3 linked regions of the Arabidopsis thaliana genome follow. The protein of the gene in region 2 interacts with the protein of the main gene of each other region in a pairwise test. Each region holds a gene or a part of one and is shown on either strand. Other genes may lie near its edges.

What was found.
Region 1: the proteins of AT3G27770 (region 2) and ARGOS interact in a protein complementation assay, tested with the Arabidopsis thaliana proteins (one large-scale study listed by BioGRID).
Region 3: the proteins of AT3G27770 (region 2) and AT3G18250 interact in a protein complementation assay, tested with the Arabidopsis thaliana proteins (one large-scale study listed by BioGRID).

What each region holds. Positions count from the first base shown.
Region 1 is NC_003074.8:22,125,860-22,133,040, reverse strand, and holds ARGOS (auxin-regulated gene involved in organ size), read right to left. Parts: upstream 3,537-7,181; 5' UTR 3,001-3,536; coding exon 2,608-3,000; 3' UTR 2,569-2,607; downstream 1-2,568. Other genes in the region: AT3G59910 (Ankyrin repeat family protein), read left to right, coding at 8-612, 952-1,384, 1,465-2,262; AT3G59890 (Dihydrodipicolinate reductase, bacterial/plant), read left to right, coding at 6,550-6,563, 6,668-6,887, 7,108-7,181. UniProt on the Arabidopsis thaliana protein: Promotes cell proliferation-dependent organ growth. Takes part in the AXR1-dependent auxin signaling pathway that requires ANT during organogenesis.
Region 2 is NC_003074.8:10,283,930-10,292,154, forward strand, and holds AT3G27770 (plant/protein), read right to left. Parts: upstream 4,003-8,225; 5' UTR 3,739-4,002; intron 3,653-3,738; 5' UTR 3,546-3,652; coding exon 3,223-3,545; intron 3,131-3,222; coding exon 3,097-3,130; intron 3,010-3,096; coding exon 2,800-3,009; intron 2,686-2,799; coding exon 2,596-2,685; intron 2,468-2,595; coding exon 2,402-2,467; intron 2,312-2,401; coding exon 2,220-2,311; intron 2,138-2,219; coding exon 2,090-2,137; intron 1,974-2,089; coding exon 1,889-1,973; 3' UTR 1,728-1,888; downstream 1-1,727. Other genes in the region: EMB3123 (PPR containing protein), read left to right, coding at 891-1,559; MYB118 (myb domain protein 118), read right to left, coding at 4,838-5,431, 5,850-5,976, 6,083-6,531, 6,640-6,783.
Region 3 is NC_003074.8:6,255,492-6,261,866, forward strand, and holds AT3G18250 (Putative membrane lipoprotein), read right to left. Parts: upstream 2,936-6,375; 5' UTR 2,917-2,935; coding exon 2,686-2,916; 3' UTR 2,569-2,685; downstream 1-2,568. Other genes in the region: AT3G18240 (Ribosomal protein S24/S35), read left to right, coding at 319-559, 784-1,185, 1,512-1,926, 2,003-2,204; AT3G18260 (Reticulon family protein), read right to left, coding at 4,837-5,006, 5,099-5,168, 5,270-5,411, 5,533-5,713, 5,899-6,013.

The DNA.
Region 1 (7,181 bases), about 12 Mb from region 2:
GACAAGGATGGAGAAAGAAGGTGTGTGTGATACCATTAATTTAAGTGATCAGATGTACCCTGATGAGCCTTTCTGTTCCGAGATGAAAACTGAAACCATTGCTTCATCTCAGAAATTTGAAGGAGGCGAGGGGAGTAAAGTGGTTTTTTCGAGAGAGGCACCTTTAATAGGAAAGGATTCAGCTGGAACTAATTCGGGAGAATGCTGTGGTTGTAGTGCTAAGAAACTAAATTTTAAAGGGGATGATGATCTCGTTGAGAAGGAAAATATTGAGCAGCAGAAAAAGCTTAATAGGCAAGAAAGAATTGAGTTGGGACGGCTCTTCCAAGGCGCTGTTACCTCACTGGATTGGGAACTTGCTGAGAGATTGATTCAGTTGGCTGATCCTCAGACTTTAAATGATTTGTTGTGTGTTGGTCTAGATTCAGTTTGGTTCTTGAGTACAAAGCCTGAGTTTCAGGGGATCACCGGATTGATTAAGAAGATCATATGTCATGGTGCTCATGACTTTACTAGAGCTACTCTTAGGACTTCGTTTCTCGCTTCTTGTGTCTCTGCTTGCCAGAGCCGGACAATGAGTCTTTCTGATACAGTAACTGTTATGGCTCAAAGGTAATCATGCAATCTTTTAATTTCTCTTTAAGTATAATTCTAAAGCAGATTTGGGGTGCTTAGACTGGTTGGCTGTTTCTATTTTTCCCTGTTTCTTTTTATTTTGCTTCACTCACGGGAACCTTAGGTATATTTGTAGCTGCACAAATTTTTCCTTACTGGTTATAGTGTTTGGTTATATCTGTATGTAATTGGTTGTCAGGATAATCAAATGACACTGCTAGTATTTGTGGGCGCTGATGTTACTAAATGTCATAGACAAAACAATTCCGCTTAAGAAAACTTTAAATCAGTTTGTTTAACATGTGAGTTCATATTTGGTTTGTACATGATGTATAGGTTGCATGAGCGTCTCCAAGAGTGCAACGGGGATGAGATTCTAAAAGCAGAGGCTGGTGCCAAAGTTCAGAAGTTCACTGAATGGGCTCTCAAATGTATAGGTTTCCACTCCCGATGCCAGGGGGCAAAGGATAGAGTTAGCCAAAATTCGGCTGCTGAAATTGAACTACAACTTTCTGCTTTCAAGATGTTCTTAGATCTAGCAGGAAACCATCTCTCAGGAAGAGACTTCACTGAGGCCTTTGATGCAGCTTGTTTCCCGCTCACTCTGTTCTCCAACTCGTTTGATCCTGGCTGGGCATCTGGGATGTCAGCTACTGTTATACAGGGACTGCTCGGTATGCTTGTTGAAGGTGGCGCAGATAATGTGAACCAATGTTTCCTTGAAGCTTCACGTTTTGGTAGTACAGAACTTGTCCGCGTCTTATTGCAGGTAAGCTTCCATTCTTTTGATTGCTTCTAGACTTATAGAAGGTCTCTTTTCGTGCTCAAATATTGTATTTCCTGGAGCAGATTGCCCAAAGGAACAGCTTAGATGTTGATGTGGACTTAGCTCTTGGTTTTGCCTCGCATTATTGTAAAATCGGAACAATGAAGTGCCTAGTGGAAGAAGGTAATGCCATTGCCTTCTTGGGTCCCTTAATGAGAGCAGCAGAGAGAGGTTGCATGCAAGTTGTTCAATGGTTTGTGAAAAGAGGTTGCCGTGACATGGAGCTTTGCTTGGCTCTAACAGCGGCCACTTCAAGTTGCCAAGTCGAGGTAGCTGCTTATCTCCTCCCTCGTGTTCCACCACCTGTCTTAACCGCTCTCAGCATCGAAATCCTCAAAGCAGCAGGAGAAAGAAGCGGAGGGTCTCTCCAAGGAGTAGAGTTTCTTCTCAAATCAGACTTCTTAGGAGATTCCACGGCTACATACTCAGTGGCAGACAGCATCGCAAGGTCATCAGAAGACGAATCCGTTCCTTCAGATCTAAAATCGTTTCTCCAAGAACACTGGTCGGAGTCAGCTTTTGAGAAAGGAATGAGAGAAAGCCATGACGATTTCATGAATTTCATGAGAGTTTTGAAAAAAGGGGAGTCAGCGATATCCTTAAGAGACCTTCCTGCACCGCTAAGAGTAGCAATAGCGTACATGCCGCTGTACAGAGAGTGCATGAAAGCGGACGGTCGGTTACTGTCTCAGAGGCTAAGAGGACAGCTTGTAGAAGCAGTGAGACAGCTTCAAGGCTGTGCTGTTGCAGTTGTGGAAGTAAGCCAGACTCGTAACCTTATGGCGGTTTTGGAGCATCACCTTACCGCCATTTTCGATTGAAACAAATGGATTCTGCTTTTGGGCTTCACTGGTTTTCTAATTTCTACGAATAGTTGAAAATAAGCAAATAAATACTACGATTTAAATTAACGGATATTGGGATTTGGGTTTGAGATGACGAAGTGAGGTTTTTTTTTTTTTTTTGTATAATTTCTTCTTATGATGCTTCTATATTATGTCAGTCTCTTCTCCTCCATTTCTCTTATTGTGCGTTGAAGTATTCTCACATATATATATTATGATAATTTAATGTAATATTTATAACTTACATTTATATTGTATATCAATTTCATTGGATTAAGAACCCTAAGATTAATTAAGATCATCATATAATAAATTTCAGATTTACATGAAATTGCAAGTTACATCTGTATTAGCATTAGAATGAGAAGAAGGCATGAAGGCAAGAACGACGAGTAAAACCATAATCCCAATGGGAACCAATAGCAGCATAAACGGAGGCGGAGGTAACGGCGGCAAAACTAACGGAAGTATTAACAGAGATGCCGTTAGACCAACCAATAGGAACAGAGACTCTAAACTGAAATAATTCGCCGGGATCATCATCCTTTTCTGCGCCGAGAAACTCCGCCGTAACTCTTGCTTGCTTTTCTCCGGCGAACTTCGAAAGCTCATGTTTTTCCGGTTGTTTCTTCCGACGTCCATGACTCGGTTGTTCGAATAACTGTCTTGAATGTTTATAATATCTTTTTGTAAGTTTGAGATTTCTCGAATCATCTACAGAGGTTGTTTTGCTGTGTCTGGTTTGGATTTAGAAGATCAGTGACAAAATTTTGCTCAAAGATCTGATCTTTAGGGCAACTGGTTAACCAATGCAGCTTGATCGAAGCAATTGGTGAAGAATTCGAGACAAAATAAGGATGGCCCACGATTCAGAAACAGAGGATGCAGAACAAATCCGAGTTAACTCAACGATTCAGATGTAAAGGAAGAAGCTTTGAGGTGAAGGAGTTTGAGAAGCTTTGTGTATTGGTTTTGGTTGGATCAAGAAACTGTGTGAAACAAGTACTAGTAGGGAAATGAGGAAGACAAGTAGCAATGAAAGAGGAGAATTTATTAATAAAGGAGTTGGAGGAGAATCAGAAGATATGGGGGGAGAAAGAGAGAGAAGAGGGTTCAGTGAATTTAGGGATTTTCTGATATGTTGAAAAGACGAAAAAGAGGAACGTTTATTATATAAAGGGGCTGACAAATGTGAGGAGAAGCAAGTTGCTGAATTTGAAAGATTTGAATTTCGTGTGGCCTAGTCTTCCTCCACAATCACAAGGTTCTTCTCCCCTGGTCTTCTTTTCTCTTACTTTTTCTACCATTTCTTTTACTTATATAACATATGACGTAAGCTACAATCTCCTCTGATCTGAATATGTAAGTAGTATTTAAATAAATGAGTTTTAAAACCATCTTTTTACCATTCTATAAATTTTTAAGAAAATAATTTTCTAGTTTATTTTGAATCATCCAGTTATTAATATACAGGTTGATTTTTAAAATTTTATAATCAAATATTTGATGCGATGAGGAAATTATTTTTATTAACGTACCTACCAATAATTTTGTCGATGTTTATGGATAAATAAGGACCCATAGTGTTGTTCTTCTCGAAGCACTTCATATGGTGAATGCGCTTGTTCTACCAGGAAATGTTGGGCCAATATATGTATATGCTCTCATATTTCTATATATAAAGCCAAGTTAAATAGCTAGGAATGTTTTTCAAATTAATTCACGATGCTATTTTTATATATTTACGTGTATATGGAGATCGGACATAGTAACGTGACAACACGCTTTGCATGTGAAGTCTTGATGAGAGGATGGTTTTTAATAAAGCCAAGATGTTTATATCGCCAGAGGATGAATTCTCACAGAATGATGAATTAAAGCAAATAGACTTCGCTAGTAACTCAGTCGGAAATCACTTGTTACTTTTAATATATAAATATAGTTAATCCCATAAATATAATTCATGGTTCAATGAATTGAGAAACATATAGGCCATTTCCTTTAGAAACAACGTCAAGTGGTTTTATTAGTTTTTTTCCTGGCCTTTAGATACAAAAAAGCCGATGAGTAGTTTGGGAGAATTGATAGATTACCAATACTACAACACTAGTTATCCACATTAATTGTGCAGCATTACTTTAATTAGGCCAAATTAACAATATACGAAGACTGCAGCTTCAGATATTAAACTATTTGACGTGTACCAACAAAGTTTTTTGCATGGATGACAAACCCTAAATTAATAATTTAGAATGTTTATATCGAAAGATCCGCTAGTTTCTACTCCTACTCTACAGATACGAAAATCGTATATTTAGGGATGAGAAAATGGATCTCCTTGAATCGTTGACCAAAAAAAGGAAAGAAAATTGTCAAATGGATCTTCTCAGCATAAGCTCAACTAAAAAAATCAATTTATTTGTGTTTAGTGTTTGTCTCTACAATCAAGAGAATACTTTTACTAAAATATGGGTTCATAAAAATGTTCACTGAATGTATACACTAGTAACCAAAACTTATTTGGTGCGGTTTAAGATTTATTTTTTATTTAAATAAAAGTACTTCCTTTTAAGTTCTTTGGAAACAAAAGAATTAATCAGTTTAAAATTCAGTTCACTTGTGTGTTTGTTCTTGGATAGATATACAGTATTACGATTAAACATCTCTATTTGTACGTTTTTAATTAGTAATGGAATTTGTTTATTGAAGACTAGATGAGTAAATAATGGTGGAAAGTTAAGATGTAGGTGTGTATATATGGCAACCCATGCATGATTATTGCCTTGAACACCGCACACATTTAGATTGGTGTCCAGTGGACCTGTATCAAAAAGTTCAAGAAAAAAAAGTATTATCATAATATTATTCCCTCTGTCTTACTAATAAGTCAGTCATGTTTAAATATTGCTTCTTCTTGTTTTATATACCCTACTTCTAATTTAATTGATTTTCGACAGTCAATATGCATAGACATATGTTTTGGTCTAATTCTTAGACACTTGATGCATTACAATAATCTCAATAACAAGGTCCATATGCTCAGTTTCATAACGTTCGCGAATTTTAAAGATTTTTGTTTTGGTCAGCTTTTTTAGATTTGATAATATTATTCGATTATTATCTTGTGAAATATTATTCCATTATTATACTAAGTATAATTTGAGAAAAAGATTACTACAGTATAATTTGAGAAAAAGATTACTACAGTATAATTTGGTTGATTTGTAAGGAGAAAGGCGATCGATGAGACACTGAGGATCGAACCACATGTAAACGTCACGTGGCTCTTTGCCTTTGATTCAATGCATGATCTCTCGAGTCTCGACCAAACCAACTTGCCTAATTAATATTCCTCGTACGACTCTTTAATCCCCTTTTTTGTTTGCTTAAAAAAAAAGATTACAAATTATTTTGTTTGTTGTTTTTTTTTTTGTTTTTTTTAATCCCCTTTGATACAAATTATTTTGTTATTGTGGAAATTTAACCCAAATTATTTGAAATTCTTTCCCCGACAAGCATCTCTTATTGTGGTTGGTCTAATAGGATTAATGGTCGTTTTCGTGAGTGATGTTATCATGAAACAAGTTAATTGAAAAGTGTTCATAATTTGGTTTCCAAAATTTAGGAGTATGATTAGGTTCAGAGTATCATAAGTTTGTATGTCTTAGTGACAAAGACAAGAATAGGTATACTTACTTTTATGGGTTAAACCTTTTCATTTTATCAAGCTTTAATTAATTAAAAATCACAGATTGAAAGGGAAATTAAACGAATGACGAGAAAAAAACAATGTATCTGCTGCTTACCTGAGGTCGGTCATTGGGTTCATTGCATTGATCCTAATATACCAAATTTATGGTTCATATTCAATTTTATATTTTTAGCTAGCTCCAACAAAAACAATGTTTCCGTACATTTTCGTTGTCAAAAAAACAAAAGATGATTCATGACCTCTTAATTAAAGTGAAATCCGGACTCTGACCATTAATTAAGGAAAAAGTAGAGAAACTCCGGTTTGATAAATTAATTAAATAGAAATTCCGGTTTGACCATTAAAATGAAGAGAAATTCCGGTTTTCAATTTTAGTAACCTTTCCGGTTTTGGTTGAAACACCCCAACCTTAACCAGAAGCTTTGGATCTGACGTAAAGGGAAAATGTCTAAAACCCTACCGTTCGCCGGTTCGAATTTTTCAGACAAGGTTTGAACATAAATTCTAATTTCGTTGCTCGACAGCAATCTCGGACCAAGTGGAAACCGAAAATGGCGGCGAATGGGTACAGTTTCTAAACTGGATTCACTCTCTTCCGACATTGGTTTGATGAATTGATCTTTAAAGTTGTCATTTTTGTTGTTGTTCTTGTCTGGGATTTGATCACAGGCTAATGGCGGCATCTAGTGTGTTTCTCCACCGTCCTGTACATCCCCATTTCTCGTTCTCTTCTAGAACGAATCAAATGGTTCCACTCGGCTTCAAAGGCCGTGTTAGTTTCATCGGCAATGTGAAACGCTGTTTTCCGGTGGTATTGTCAATGGGAAAGTCGGAGACTTTCGAGGAAGCTGGAAATTCCGTTGCGCCTGGTAACGGCATATCGATCATGGTATCTGATTACTTCCCTAACACTCTTGAGTTGTGACATTTAGCATTTCCATTGATGATTGTGATTTTCCCGGAAATTTATAGATGGAAAGCTGTTGCCTTTTTTTTTTTTTCTAGCAACAGAAATATTTTAGGGTAAGTTACATAGATCTTTGCTAGAGTGTAATTGTAGGATCAAGTTATAAGCCATTCGTTCACTCTTTTTAATCTTTATACTTTAGGTGAATGGATGCAGTGGTAAAATGGGGAAAGCTGTCATCAAAGCGGCAGATTCTGCTGGAGTGAATATTGTTCC
Region 2 (8,225 bases):
TTTTTTCTCTAGTAAATTTGGTCACATAATCATAGTTTTGTTGCTAAATAAAAAGGGATGAAAATCATAGTTTTGTTTATTATAAAAATAGAATAAAGTATCGAATATATGTCTAAATTTAATATTTAAATAATTATATATATAAATAGATTTTATATAAATTCGAAATAGAATAAATATAAGGTTAAATAAAAGTAAAAAAATCATATATTTATATTTTAATAAGGTAAAAATGTTTTAGGATATTAGTAATTAAACGAGTTAAAGAAATATAAGATTTAAGATAGAATGTTGCTAGCATTCTATCTTGATTTTTTGAAGACTGATTTCAGTTAGAATTGTGGCAACAAATATGAAGATTCCAGTACTTAGGTCATATGGTAAAATCACGCGAATTCTTAAGTTTTACAAGATCGAATTCGGTGGTTCTCTTTGTAACTTGGCTTTCTTTGCTTAGAAGCGATCCAAACCTTTTTTAGTAGTAATGTTGTATTTATTTTTCTGTAGATTATTTTTATATGTATTTTGTAATCTTTGTAATTATGTTAAAAATTAAAATTGGTATAAAATTTAACTTTTTAACAAAAAAAAAAACAATCTGAAAAAAAAAGAAGAAGATAAAGTCGTCAAATTGGTATAAAATTTAACTTTTTAACGAAACAAGAATTTGAAAAAAAAGAAGAAGATAGAGTCGCTCTTGCAAGTGTAATGATAGACTCGTGTAGAGAAATTAGCGGGAACAGAAATATAAACGACGCATAATTAGAAAGTATAAATTAATTAATTTTGTGTCACATATGGGCCTTTTATAAATTAATATGGGCTTGCCCAATGAAAGACCATCTCTCTCACTCACACAACCACACTCGTAAAGATTGGTGTGATTAATAATGGCGCTTTCTCTCAGCCAGACTCGACCACCAAGCCTTAGCCATAGCCATACCCTTAGCGTCATCGTTCCTAAGAGAACGTTCGTTTCGATCCGATGCGGTCCACGAGACAACCGCGGACCACTTCTCAAAGGCCGAATCCTAAGCACCGAAGCAATCCAATCAATCCAATCTCTCAAACGAGCTCATCGAACCGGTGTCTCCCTCTCCCTTACCCTCCGTCCTCTCCGCCGTCTCATAAAATCCGATCTCATCTCCGTCCTCCGTGAGCTTCTCCGTCAAGACTATTGCACACTCGCTGTCCATGTACTCTCCACTCTCCGTACAGAGTATCCTCCTCTTGACCTTGTTCTATACGCAGACATTGTTAATGCTCTTACGAGGAATAAAGAGTTCGATGAGATAGATCGTCTTATTGGTGAAATTGATGGAATTGATCAAAGAAGTGATGATAAGGCTTTAGCTAAGTTGATTAGGGCTGTGGTTGGAGCTGAGAGGAGAGAGTCGGTGGTTAGGGTTTATACCTTGATGAGGGAAAGTGGTTGGGGGTCTGAGTCATGGGAGGCTGATGAGTATGTCGCTGAGGTTTTGAGTAAGGGTCTCTTGAGACTAGGAGAGCCAGACTTGGCTTCTCAAGTCTCACTCAAATCTTCAATTCTAAAACCTTGAATTTTCGGGTTTTCGGTTTGGTTTGGTTCGGTTTTTGATTAAGTTCATACACTTTTGGCAAAGATTGCACTATATTCTGTTGCTATGGTTAGTTCTTTCGATTTGGTTCGAGCTGAAATCAATTCGGGTAGCGAAAAATTTACGAAATGGTTCATTGCGATATGCGAATTGGATCGGAAGTAAATAGTTTATGCATTGAAATGTTGTGGCGTTTACAATGATCTGTTTTGAAGATTTTAGACATATGGGGTAAAAAATTGTTTCTTTGATTGTTGTAACCCTTGAGCACTGACTCTTACGGGGCAGAAACTCTTGGATTCGAAATGACTTCAAGAAATGAGTTTGTATTTGATTTTGACGATTAATGCAAAGAGGCCATAAGAAGGAAGATGCAGGAGTGCCACCAACAAATACCTGCAGATGCATGAATTAAAATATTAAGGATAGGCGTAATCATTCTAAGGAATGAAACATTATGATATAAACCAATCCTGACTAGTGTCTAGTATGTAAATGTTTTCAAGGCTTACCACACTGGAGCCATGTCTAATGACAGGTTGAGAAATGGATATGGCCACCTAAGTCAATCGAGGAATACAAGTGTAAGATTAATCAAGACGGTAAGTGTAACATACAAAAGATGACAGAGAAGAGTTTTACCCAACGGAGATAAACATGTGGAGAATCCACTGGAAAAGAACGAAACATCCTGTCCATAAGATGAAGTAAGAGAACCTGAACAATGGAAATTTCTGCAAAGCAACATCACAAAAAGACCTCAGGTTCAACACATTAATGAAAACGAAAACTCGTCGTAAATGCAGAGGAAAGAATTGTTTTACCAGACGGTTTAGAAACGTGTCAATAAGCAGCAAAACGAGGTTGCTTGTGTGCAAATTCACAGTCATCTGAAAACACAGAATTTTGACACTAGAGAAGTTGAGACTAAGTTCAAGAGGGTCAAGTGCAACGTAGAAAGTGCCATCAGCAGTGTACAAGCTTTAACTAATATACGGTAAATGGCGCGAAAACTTACGAAACTCATCTCATAGTCCTGTAAAGACAGAAACGGGAAAATCACGGTCCAATATATACTGTCTGTAAGCACAGCTGCTCCAGCACCCATCTGTTTTTCAACAAACCAAAACACACAAGTATCAGTGATCATATATACACTAATGAAACAAGAAATCTGAAAGTTGCAAACTATACATCATAATAACCAAAGGAATCTGTCTACCTGATATATAATCTGGAAGAGATGAACATATGACTTTAGTGCTTCCGAACCAGAAGTTTTTCTCTTCTCGAACGAAACCATGTTGTCACCATCTATAAGAGGCGAACGAAACCCGTTCTCTGCATCGATTCCTACTTGATCAGCGATAAGTCCAGTGTTCCCTTGCTTCTTGTATTGTAAACATCCATAAATTGAAAGCAATGATCCCATCTACACAACACACAAGTGACAACAAACATTCAAACAAACTTGACTATAACCATATACATATTCACAACATCAAAAATCAAAACATACCCCGAAGTAGATTGCTATCAAAGTGAATGTCCACCTACCAATCAAAACCTCAATCATATCAGTCTCAAAACATCAAAGATATTCCCTTTCCACACAATAAAGCAGAGATCTTTAAAGAGAACTTACTGAGTATAATAGTAGTAAATACGCCATCCACGATTAGCAAACCGGGCAATATTGTTAGCAAGAAGGAAACAAAACCCGAGAACCCGAAAACCCAACAACCAACCCGGATGGATTCGTTCAAAACAAGGTCTCCAAACATCATCAATGCACAAAACATCATTACCATTAAGTGATGGTTGAGTTTGAACTGAACTATCTTCATACTTCCATAAGACTAATAAAGAAACAATCATTGGAACTATTACCCATATAGCACATAGTAACACTCTCCAATTAAACCAGTAATCAAAGCTGGTGAATTCCAAAACATTCTCAAGATTCATTTTTTTTTTCTTGTTCTCTTGTTGATCCGTCTGAATATTCGGATCTTTTAGATCCGAAACTCAATGGGATCAACACCGGACTTGAAAACCCAGATCAAAAACTGTCTCTGCAGAGGAGTTAAAAGTAGCTTAATTGATTTACATATAGAGATATTAGTGTTAAGATTAAGTAGCTTTGATTCTTGATACTTACGTTATGTTAAGAGAAATGTAGAAGCTTGTCCTTGTTCTTGTTGTTGTGTGTGATGGAGAAGTCAAATTGAAACTTGGAAGGTGATGAGATATGAGATATGTATAAATCTGAAGAACAATCCAATGGCGGTGTCAGAGGCCCACTGGAATCGGAGAACACAGAGTGGAGACAAGGACAGGTGGGACCTTCTCCGTTTGTCCAACGCTTAGTTGCCAAACGACGTCGATTTGGTTTCGTGTGTATTTTACTTAAATAGGCCTAAATCACAAATCTCATATAAATGGAAAGATATCTACAAGCCCATTATTATTTTTAACTATTTGTAGTTAAGACTAAAATTGTTAAGTTTTTTTTCTTTTTTTGTTGGAGGAATTGCACAAAAAGAATAAGAAGTAATGGTTTATTGTATTTGGTTAAGATCTCAATTTTCTATGTAGTTAGTCAAAATATCATTAATGAATATAGATCCCAAAAGTTTTATGTATTTTTCTTTTAGTTATGTATGACTTTTCGAATGGTGATATACAAAACAAATGGAAAACCAAAATATAATGTATACAAAACTCTCATTACGTTTTTTTTTGTTTGTGTTTTGCCTAAAATTTCTGGTATTACAATACGACGGACCATATAGTCATTATGACGGTAAGGTAACAAATTCCAGAAAATTACAATACAACGGACCATACACATATTATCCCATATTACATCATACTAACCAGATATTTTGTAAACAACTAGTACTTTTTTTCTTTAGCATAGTCGATATAAAATTATTCTTTAGTGACTAAATGTACTTGTTGTGGACCTAATGGTCGTCTTCTCCTAACCGCAAACGCAATTACCATTCATATAGTATAACAGAAAATTTAACAATATATATAGATTCTTAATTAAAATGAAATTAGAGAATAACAAAAAAAAAATCTGATAAAGCAAGAAAACCTTCAATTTTTGTTTAGTCCAAAAGAAACCTTCAATTAAACCACAATATATATTACATGTCCAATTCTTCAATTAAAAGCACAAACATAATTTCATAAATAGCATAATTATATAGGTAGATATAATCAAGTTCGACTTGTTTATATTGCACGGTCTAAAGACGACCATGAGCAATCATCTCCAGCAAAGCAATCTCGTTCATCATAACTTCATCACATCCATGCATCACCATCCAGCTATCAGTCATCGGCTCATCAATCTCCATGGTCACACCACTTCCAGAACCAGACGCAGAACCAGAAGTAGACGCTGATCCGGAGGCCGACATAGCCGCCAATGACGGCATCTTGATCCTTCCATCTTCTAAACCCAAGTTATTCACACCATCCACAATATACTTACATTCACCCTCATCATACTCCGAGACCGCAACCATTACATTCTTACCTTTACCTCTCATGTTTCTTGGACCAATGTTTGCGTTTGCATTTGCGGTCATGAAAGGATCATCATTGTAGGTAACAGACCTAATGTAGTTCTGAAGAGTGTTGCTACCAAGTGAAAGGGAAATTTCATCTTTTCCTTTAGTCCTCCTCGAGTGTTGTCGACGTTTAGTCGCGTTCCAATGGTTCTTGATCGTATTTTCAGTGCGTCCCGGGAGTTTTCGAGCTATCTCAGCCCATCTGTTCCCAATCTCCTTATGGGCTTTTATCAGTATTATATCCTCTTCTTCAGTCCATCCATCTTTCTGTAACATACCACATAAAATATGCTTTATATGTAAATAATACATACAATATTAAACAAATATTTTTATTTTTTATATGTTTTTTTCTCTTTTATGTTTGTTGAATTATATGAGAGAATCCAAGTGACAATGACTTTAGTTTAAATGTCTTACCAATTGTGAAGTTTTGTCCGCAACAAGAAGACAAAATGCCTTAAAGAATTGTCATAGACATATATGTATATACAAACAAAAGTTTAAAGTATTCATGCATGAAATAAAACCGTATACATGTTGACAAGTGTGAAAAAAGTTTGTTAATATTCTCTTAGAAGATTCTCAATGTATCATGTAATGAATTTGAAAGTATCGAAGATGATATTTTGTTTTTGTTTCTCCTATGAAAATAAGAAAATGAAAATAAAATAAAATAAGAGACCTTGATATCGGGACGGAGATGGTTATGCCACCTTTCTCTGCACTGTTTTCCAACTCGTCCTTGAAGCATCTTAGCAATCTGAGACCATTTTTTAGTTCCGTGAAGGTCCACTAGCTGCACCAATAACCTAAATATAGGTAGAATCATTAGAAAATATTAATATTAAAAACAATATCATACTAGATTAAGAAAATTATTTATGAGAATTCCAAAAAATTAGATGTTGAATTTACTTGTCTTCTTCAGGAGTCCATTGTCCTTTGATGATGCTAGCTTTTTTTGTGGGTTTACATATCCTCCTCATCTGAAATCTCTTGTTCTTCTTCTTGATCTGCTCGGTCTTGATCATTACCTGGTTATTTTGACGTCGATTCATGATGGTGTCTTCGTTTGCGCTCAAGAGTGGTTTTGGCATATTGAATTGATTAGAGTCCGCCATGGCTTGATTGAGGGTTGACTCGGTTCCAAAGATGAATCCTTGGTTTTGATCGTTTTCCCACATAGTATTGTCATGTGAGACATGTGAAACGTTGGGTTCAATAGTTGGTGGGGTGGTATAGGCCATGCCAAAAAAAACATGGTCGTTGGATGTGCCATGAAAACATGCCTCGAAAGCTTCAGTGCATGGAGAAGGAGTGATGCCCCTAATGGTTTCTTTTGATGGTATTTCATATGTGTGAGGCTGCATATCAAAGTGATAGGGAACAATATTAAGATTTTGAGTAAAGTGATAGGATTGAGATCTTTAATGTGAGATTCTTGTGAAAAAAAGATCAGGATTAGAGTTTACCATCGATGGTTTGTGATGCACATTGTGTACACAAGAAAAATCATCGGTAAGAGATGGATGAAAATCTTTTAAAGTGGAGCTATCATCGTAGATAACGGCTGCGAGATACGGATAATGCATTTTGAACACTGACTCGAACTCCATATGATTATGATGGCAAAAAAAAAAAAATACAACGTTTAGAAGATGGAACTACCTAAACAAAAAAAAATTGAGTGAAGCATGAAACCCTAGATCTGAAAGAAGAATGAGTTGGTGATGAACACAGATACTTTTTTTTTTTTTTTGGTTTAAAGAACACAAGTCTTGAAAGAGAGCAATTTAACTTGACTGCAAAAAAGGATAACGAGGAAAGTAATTGATTAGTGAAATGAAATTCAAGCTTGAAGATGAATTTAAGGAAGAGGAAAAACAGGGAGAAGTAAAGGTAAGGGTAAAATATTAAGACTTTATAAACAAGAACAACTGTGAAGAGCGATGAGTTGGCAAAGATCTAACCTTTGATAACTTGGGTGAGTTAAAAAGTTACTTTAAAAACAAAATGATAGTCCAAGGGTAAATTGGTCACTAAAATTTGTCATGTAATAATCATGAAGTCGTTATAAGGTAGTTTGTATTGTTGCGGAAAATTCTCGGGCATATTTGTGACAAGTGTAAAACATGTAAGCATTATAATTTCTACTAGCCGTGTGATTATCTTTTTGGTGTTGCAATGTCAATCTAATGGTTCGTATCAGCATAGGGTCCACAAATTAGTTGGTCCCACAAGGTCCAACTCTAAAACATTGACCAAGAAATCTAAGATGATGAAAAGTATATATATAAATTAATGATACTACACATTTAGTTTAATTTATATCTTCACTTTTTAGCAATAGGTAGTTACTTTAAAAAAAATTAAAGTATTTAAAAATAAATATCATTTCTCTATAAATTTGGTTTGGTTTTTTGAAAATTTTAATTAATTAATGTATGTTGAGAAGAAAAAAATATCATATATTTCCAACTTTAACAATTTAAAATGATATTCAACATATCGTCTATTAGAAATAAAAATTCCATAGATGAATTTTATGTTCCACAAAACCCTTTATCTAAATAATATATGTGATTTGTGTAGTAGAAAAAAAAAATTGAGTTACAAAATATCTTCACAAGTTTGAGGGTATCTTTAGGGTATGCCGCTATGGTTTTGATTTTTATTCCCTTCCACTTGAAAATATATTTTTTTGTTGATTAATAAATTTGACATTTCCAAAAATAAAAGAATATTTAATGTGATGATATTGAATGTTAAAAGAGTAATGACTCAATTATCTTGAAGTATTTGGAAAAACGGTTGAAAGATATTGCAAAACAATAATTCTTTCAGGTGGAAAATATTTTTTAATAAAAATTTAAGAATATCTAAAGAATTCCATAGGTTTCCAAAAATAAAAGTCAATTTTTTCAATACAAGAAACTCAAGACATGTAGATAAATTTGAAATTACTCTACTTTAAAAATTCAAGCATGGAAGTACACCTTAGAAACCAAATAACAGTATTAGATAGAAAAATCAATTTTGTAAGCCTTATAGGTAATAG
Region 3 (6,375 bases), 4.0 Mb from region 2:
CGTTGATAATAAACTGTTCTTGACTTGTTTTCTTATAAGCATATTGAACTTCCATGAATCTGATAAACTAGTGAATTACACAGCCCTTTAACTCTTTTATCTTCAGCTAACCTTCTAAGACAACATCCACAAACATAGCTCCACCATGAAAAAATAACAACCTTAAGTATATGTATTGCTAACTAAACCGGACAGATGAAACTAAACCGGAGATTAAGACATTTAACCAAATTATTGATTCAGGTTCTGTAGCAGATTCAGGTATGAAGAAGAGCTTTTTTCCTGTCACAACCTAAAACCCTAAATCTCTGATCCGCCATGAGAGGAGCTCTCTTGAGAAATGCATCTCTCTGCGCTCGCAGAATCATTCTTTCTCCTCGTATAACCCATCAGATCTCCCCCAATGTTCCCTTTCTCGCTCCAATCGCCGCTCCTGCTGCTCCCAAGTTCAGATTTTTCTCCTCCGAATCCGGTGAGAACTCGACTACGGCCCCTGAGTCTTCGCCGACTGATTCACCCGAGAAGAAAGATCTCGTTGTAGAAGATGTAAGCAACAAAGGTAAAACACACTCTATCCTCTTGTTTGGTTACCTCACACTTGAAATGGCCTTTGTATTAGTTGAAATGTGTGAGTTTAATTCTCATCTCACCATTTCTCAATACCTCATAGTTTTCAATTGATCCTTCGATACAAGATTCGTAGCTTCTTATCTCATGAACTAGTAGAATAGCTGTAGGTAATCGTTTGAAATTGACTTCATTTATTGGATTTTGTGGTCTCAGAGCTTAAAAGCCGTATAGAGAAGTATTTCAATGAGGGTAATGAAGATGCTTTACCCGGAGTTATTGAAGCACTTCTACAGAGAAGACTTGTAGACAAACACGCAGAGACTGATGATGAATTGTTGGAAAAAATCGAGTCTCTACCTTTCAAAGATGATGTCAAGGATGAAGATTTTGAATCCGATTTCGAGGAAGCACATTCTACTGACGAAGAACTTGAGGATTTGTACAATTCTCCCGAGTATGTAGCTGAAAAGATGAGGAAGAATGAGTTTTTCAACATGGATGATAAGAAGTGGGATCACATGATTAGAGAAGGTATCCAACATGGGTGTCTTACTGATACTAAAGAATGCGAGGAGATTCTTGAGGATATGCTCAAATGGGACCAGCTTCTTCCTGGTAATGGCTCGTTTATTTTCAATCTTCCCGTTCATCGACTCACATCCTTAGACATAGATTAGGTTGATTAATAGACTAATGTGCGTCGTTATAGCTAAACACAATCTCTTCGTGGAACTTAGCTTTTGTAGTTAACCTTTCTATTTGGATTTTTCTGAATCATGGTATGAGAAGTTGAGAACCATTCGTTTTTTTAACTCGTAGAAGGTAATGTACTATGCCAGATATGTTACTTCTCGGATCAGTAGGGCCGTTTAGAGAATATATTGGTTTGTTCCTGTGATGCGTACATATGAACATTTCTCTAACTGTGTATGTTCATTCAGATGACTTGAAGAAAAAGGTTGAAGCAAAGTTTAATGAGCTTGGAGATATGTGTGAAAGAGGTGAAATTGAGGCTGAAGCAGCTTATGAGCTTTTTAAGGAATTTGAAGATGAGATGGTAATTCAGTATGGGGATCAGATGGAAGCTGAGGGTCCTCCCCAATTTGGTGAAACAGATGCTTCCGATAGGAATACTGACTTGGATGATCCCCCTGGTAAAGGCCCAATCCTCAGGTGGCAATCAAGGATAGTTTTTGCTCCTGGAGGTGATGCGTGGCATCCAAAGAACAGGAAAGTTAAAATGTCTGTTACAGTGAAAGAGCTTGGGCTCTCAAAGCATCAGGCTAAAAGGCTAAGGGAACTTGTAGGGAAAAGATACCATTCGGGGAAAGACGAGCTTACAATCACCAGCGAGAGGTATATATAACTATAAATCTTAAGCTTTTCGTGAGACAAGAATGTTGAATCATGAAATGTTTTTGTCCTGTCACAGGTTTGAACACCGAGAGGAAAACAGGAAAGACTGCTTAAGAACTCTTTACGGGTTGATAGAAGAAGCTGGGAAAGCCAACAAGATCGCTGAAGACATAAGAACTTCATATGTAAAACAAAGACTCCGTGCCAATCCAGCTTTTATGCAGAAACTACAAGCCAAGATCATAAGGTCTAAAGAATCAGATGCCATCAACGCTTGAACAAAACTTTTCCCGGTTAGCGCCTTTCTTGTCTCACCAAATAATCTGTAGGATCGTCTTCTTTTGGCAATCATTTGATCCGTTATGGCTTTTCAGATCCATGAAGAATCTTTGATGGTAACTCCTATCTTAGTTTGGTTTGCTTGTTGTATCTCATGAAGACATGAACCTTGGCTGTGCTGTTGGTGTCTATTAGAGACTAGTTAACGTTTTCTCAGAATTATGAATCTCTCCTAAAGTTAAGGTTTCAGATATGTTTACGGGTTCAGAATGAAAGTAACCAAAGGAAAGAATTGGTACAATTTTTGTTTGGGTTTTGTATCAGATGTCTTTCTAATTTTTAAAGAAATTCAATCAGTAAGATAAGAAATGGAAACTAAATAAATTATTGCTTCAATATACGATAGCTATACATCTATAAACGAAAGTAAAATGGTCGGACTGTTCTGTTTATATTTTCCTGACGAAGAAAAATGAAATCTCAACCTCCACAACCACCACCGCAACCGGCACCGCCACAACCTCCGCCACCGGTAGAGGTGCCTGAAGTGGCTCTGTTGTCGGAGACTCCGTCGGCACAAGAGAATAACAGAGCGGAGAGGATACAACAACCGATCACAGCCAGGAACACAACATGAAACAGGTAACTAGCATCGAAATGTGTTGTTGTGGTGGCCATGCTCATTACATCTTCTAATAAGTGTCTCGCCATCTCTCTTTCTCTAGTTAATGTGGATGAGATTAAGTTGTTTAACGTGAAAAGCTTTCCTACTTATAGCCGATAAATTCGTACGTAAGGCCACTGACTTTTGATAAATTATTCGTTCAGTAGTAAGATTTCTTTGTAATTAAATTTTTCTTTTTAAGAAAAGAAGACTTATTTGTTAAAATATAGAAAAGACTGCAATACAAGACTTACCAGAAAGTCATCCATTTTAGTCTACTATTCTCCTCCTCTCAACTAAACACATTTGACTGCGGAATTTTGATGGAATCACGTATATTAGATGAAGATAGGACCCGGTTTATAATAATTTCTAGTTGAAGATTATGTTTCTTTAAAAATATAAAACTTGTAATTCGAAAGGCTAGGCTAATTTTATAGGTCAAGATTATATTATGCTTTTAAAGAAATTTAAAGTTCAATATTTGATAAATTACATACATAGTTCTAGTTAAGGTTTTGTCGAGGAAGTTTAGTTGAAGATAAGGATTTTTGACCATTTACATTAGCGTGAGAAAAGTCAAATGCCATAATATAATTATCATTAATCATAATGTATAAATCAGCTTGAATTGCCTCGTCTTTTTAAAAAAATTATAAATATTGAAGTGATTGTTCATGGCCTTTGTTAAATCCAATAAAAATACAGAGATTTTGTACTGTTTAGTTATTTATCATTGGTTATCATTGATTGTTCATAACTTTATGCATGAGAAGCTATTAAGTCTCTCTCTTCTATTTCACGTGGACTCCATTTTTGTTGTTGGTCCAAATTTGACTATGCAAAATCAAATTCTTATCAAAGGACTTTCGACGTAACCCAATGTTCTTCCCTTTTTTCTTTTGGCGTCTTATTCTTCTACCACTAACCAAATTTAATTCATCATGGATTATGTAATTTCGTAATCTAAAAGCTTCCGAAACATTTGACCAAACAAGAATATATAACTCCGTAATATATATTTTTATTTATGTATACAACTGCCAAAAAATACCAAACTTCCATTTTTTACCAAAAAAATATCAATTTTTTTATTTTATAAGTATCTAACTTTCTAACAAAACTTATAAAATACTTTACGTCCATACCACATATTTTGACGTACGCAGTTTGAACTAGCTAGGTGTGAGCATCGATTTTTGGGTATAGTATGTTTCAGATTTTTGGAAAAATTAAAGTTCCTTAATAAAAAGGAAGATTGAAAAATGTGTTAGAATAGTCGATGTTAAGCGAGAGAGAAATTGTAGGTTAAAACAAAAGTGAAAAGTCTAACTCCACTTATTATTAACATTGTCATTTTCAAAATAACAAAATATCTCTTTGACAATTTTGTAGAACAATTGGTATCTATTTTAGACAAAGTTTGGTTTGGACAAAAAACGAAAATTTGGTATTTTGTTTTGTATTTTTTCCCATACATGTAAACAAACGTACGTATCTTGATATTTATCCGACCACTTTCGCTTTCGATTTAGTGTTTATTTATTTTATTTTTATAGAAGAAAATTATTATTGAAAAAAAAATAGCTCGGTTTTGGCAAATCTTAACGTTATAACAGGTTTTAGGAATGTGATGGTGATATAATGTGCAACAGATTTGCAGCGATGTGCTGATGATACCCGCTTTTCAAGTGATTTGGTCGATTTATAGTTTATTATTATACTCATCAAGGTTAAAACTAGACCAATATCATTAATTGGAGAAAGTTACCATAAACAAGTTCTTGTTAATTATTTCCCTAGAGGCTTGATTTTCACAATTTCACATCATTATTCCATTTGATGATGATTATCAGATCTTAACTTCTTCTTCTTCTTTTAACAGATATGTATATTAATTTGGGTTGATGAGGTCGCATAAATACAGTAGCAAACACATTATCTCTATAAGTAAAGAATGATCAGAATTAAGTAAATTTCTTGTTTTTGACAGTTCCTCTTGGGATTTTACTAAGAACATTCGTATCGACTTTCTTGTACAGCTTCTTCATCTTCCTCATCAACTTACCCGCCGCTGTATCCACGTCGTCCTCGTACATCTCATACATAACCGGTAAGGTTTGCATGCTTACAAACCCTGAACGACACGACGTCCATTAATTCCGTTAATTAATAAAAGGGAATTAAATCTACATATATAGTTGAGTATCATGACTTAATTCTTCTTACCTATGAAGAGAAGATTCACAAAGTTGAAATATGTCCCGATGATGGATACGATATAAAGCGAGATCGTTGTCTGGAAATATAGTAACCAATTTAAGCAAAATAATAATGAATCCAAAGTTATATATATATATATATATAAGTGGAAAATTATTATTCTATATAATATCTTACGAGAAAAAAGAGAGGAGGATCTCTTCCACAAGCAACGTCAAGAAGCTTTGTGAGGATTTGGTTGAATCTAACATGGAAGCTTCTTGCTAATTGTTTGAAAGAAGATTCGTCTAGTACAACTTCTGGTATTAGTGGTCTTTCCCTGCAATTTTGTTTATTTAATTGTCGTTTTATTGGTAAGGAAATCTTGTAATTTGTATATTTTTAACCAATTGATCATGAGAAATTGAAAAAAGATTAATCAAGTAAAGATATAAACATACCAATTGAGAAAATCAGAAGCAGTAGACCAAATGAAGAAAAAAAGCATGGAGGTCATGGAAGCATGACAAATTAGGGTTATGAAATTGTATTCCACTACTTCCATTAAGAACCATAAGATGCTCACTCCTATCACCAATGTTGCTGCTATTTTCGGCTCTCTCCATAACAGAATATCCGCAACTGTTAATCACGAATGCAAGTTGTTAAAATTTAGTGTTTGTCTACATTATAATTTTGGTGATAATTTTGGATAATAGCAAAATAAAATGTGATATTTGAAGAGAATTGATGGATATAAACATGTACTTTCACACACGCATACCGATTGAACCGATATAAAGTTTGAAAGAGAGTGAGACAAATACCTTTACCACCTCCAAATATAGAGTGAATAGATCGTTGACGAGTGAAGAGCTTAGTTGTTTTATGGATCGTTCTTTCGTCTTCAGAATCGGAGGACGATCCCGTAAATATTGGCATGGTTGGATCAAATTTATTAAGATAAAAGTTACTGCGGTAAGAAACAACAATGAAATGAATGTAATCACTATGTAAAATAGTTGATTTGGATTAGGAGAAAATGTGAAAAGCAACAAATATAAGAAGAAAGAAGAAGAGATAGGTTCTAGGCTTGGGAACAAAGGTAACAAAAACATATTCAAGAAGCAAAGAATGGGAATGGTTTTGACCTTGTTCCTTCTCCCATTTATTTCTTCATCTTCATGTCTCAATAAACTATTCAAACCCCTCACGTACGTTGCATATATTTTAACTGAGTGTTATCTTCCCGGTATAAGTGAAGACCCGAAGATCTGGTCTAAACCGTAGCAATTTGAACCGAA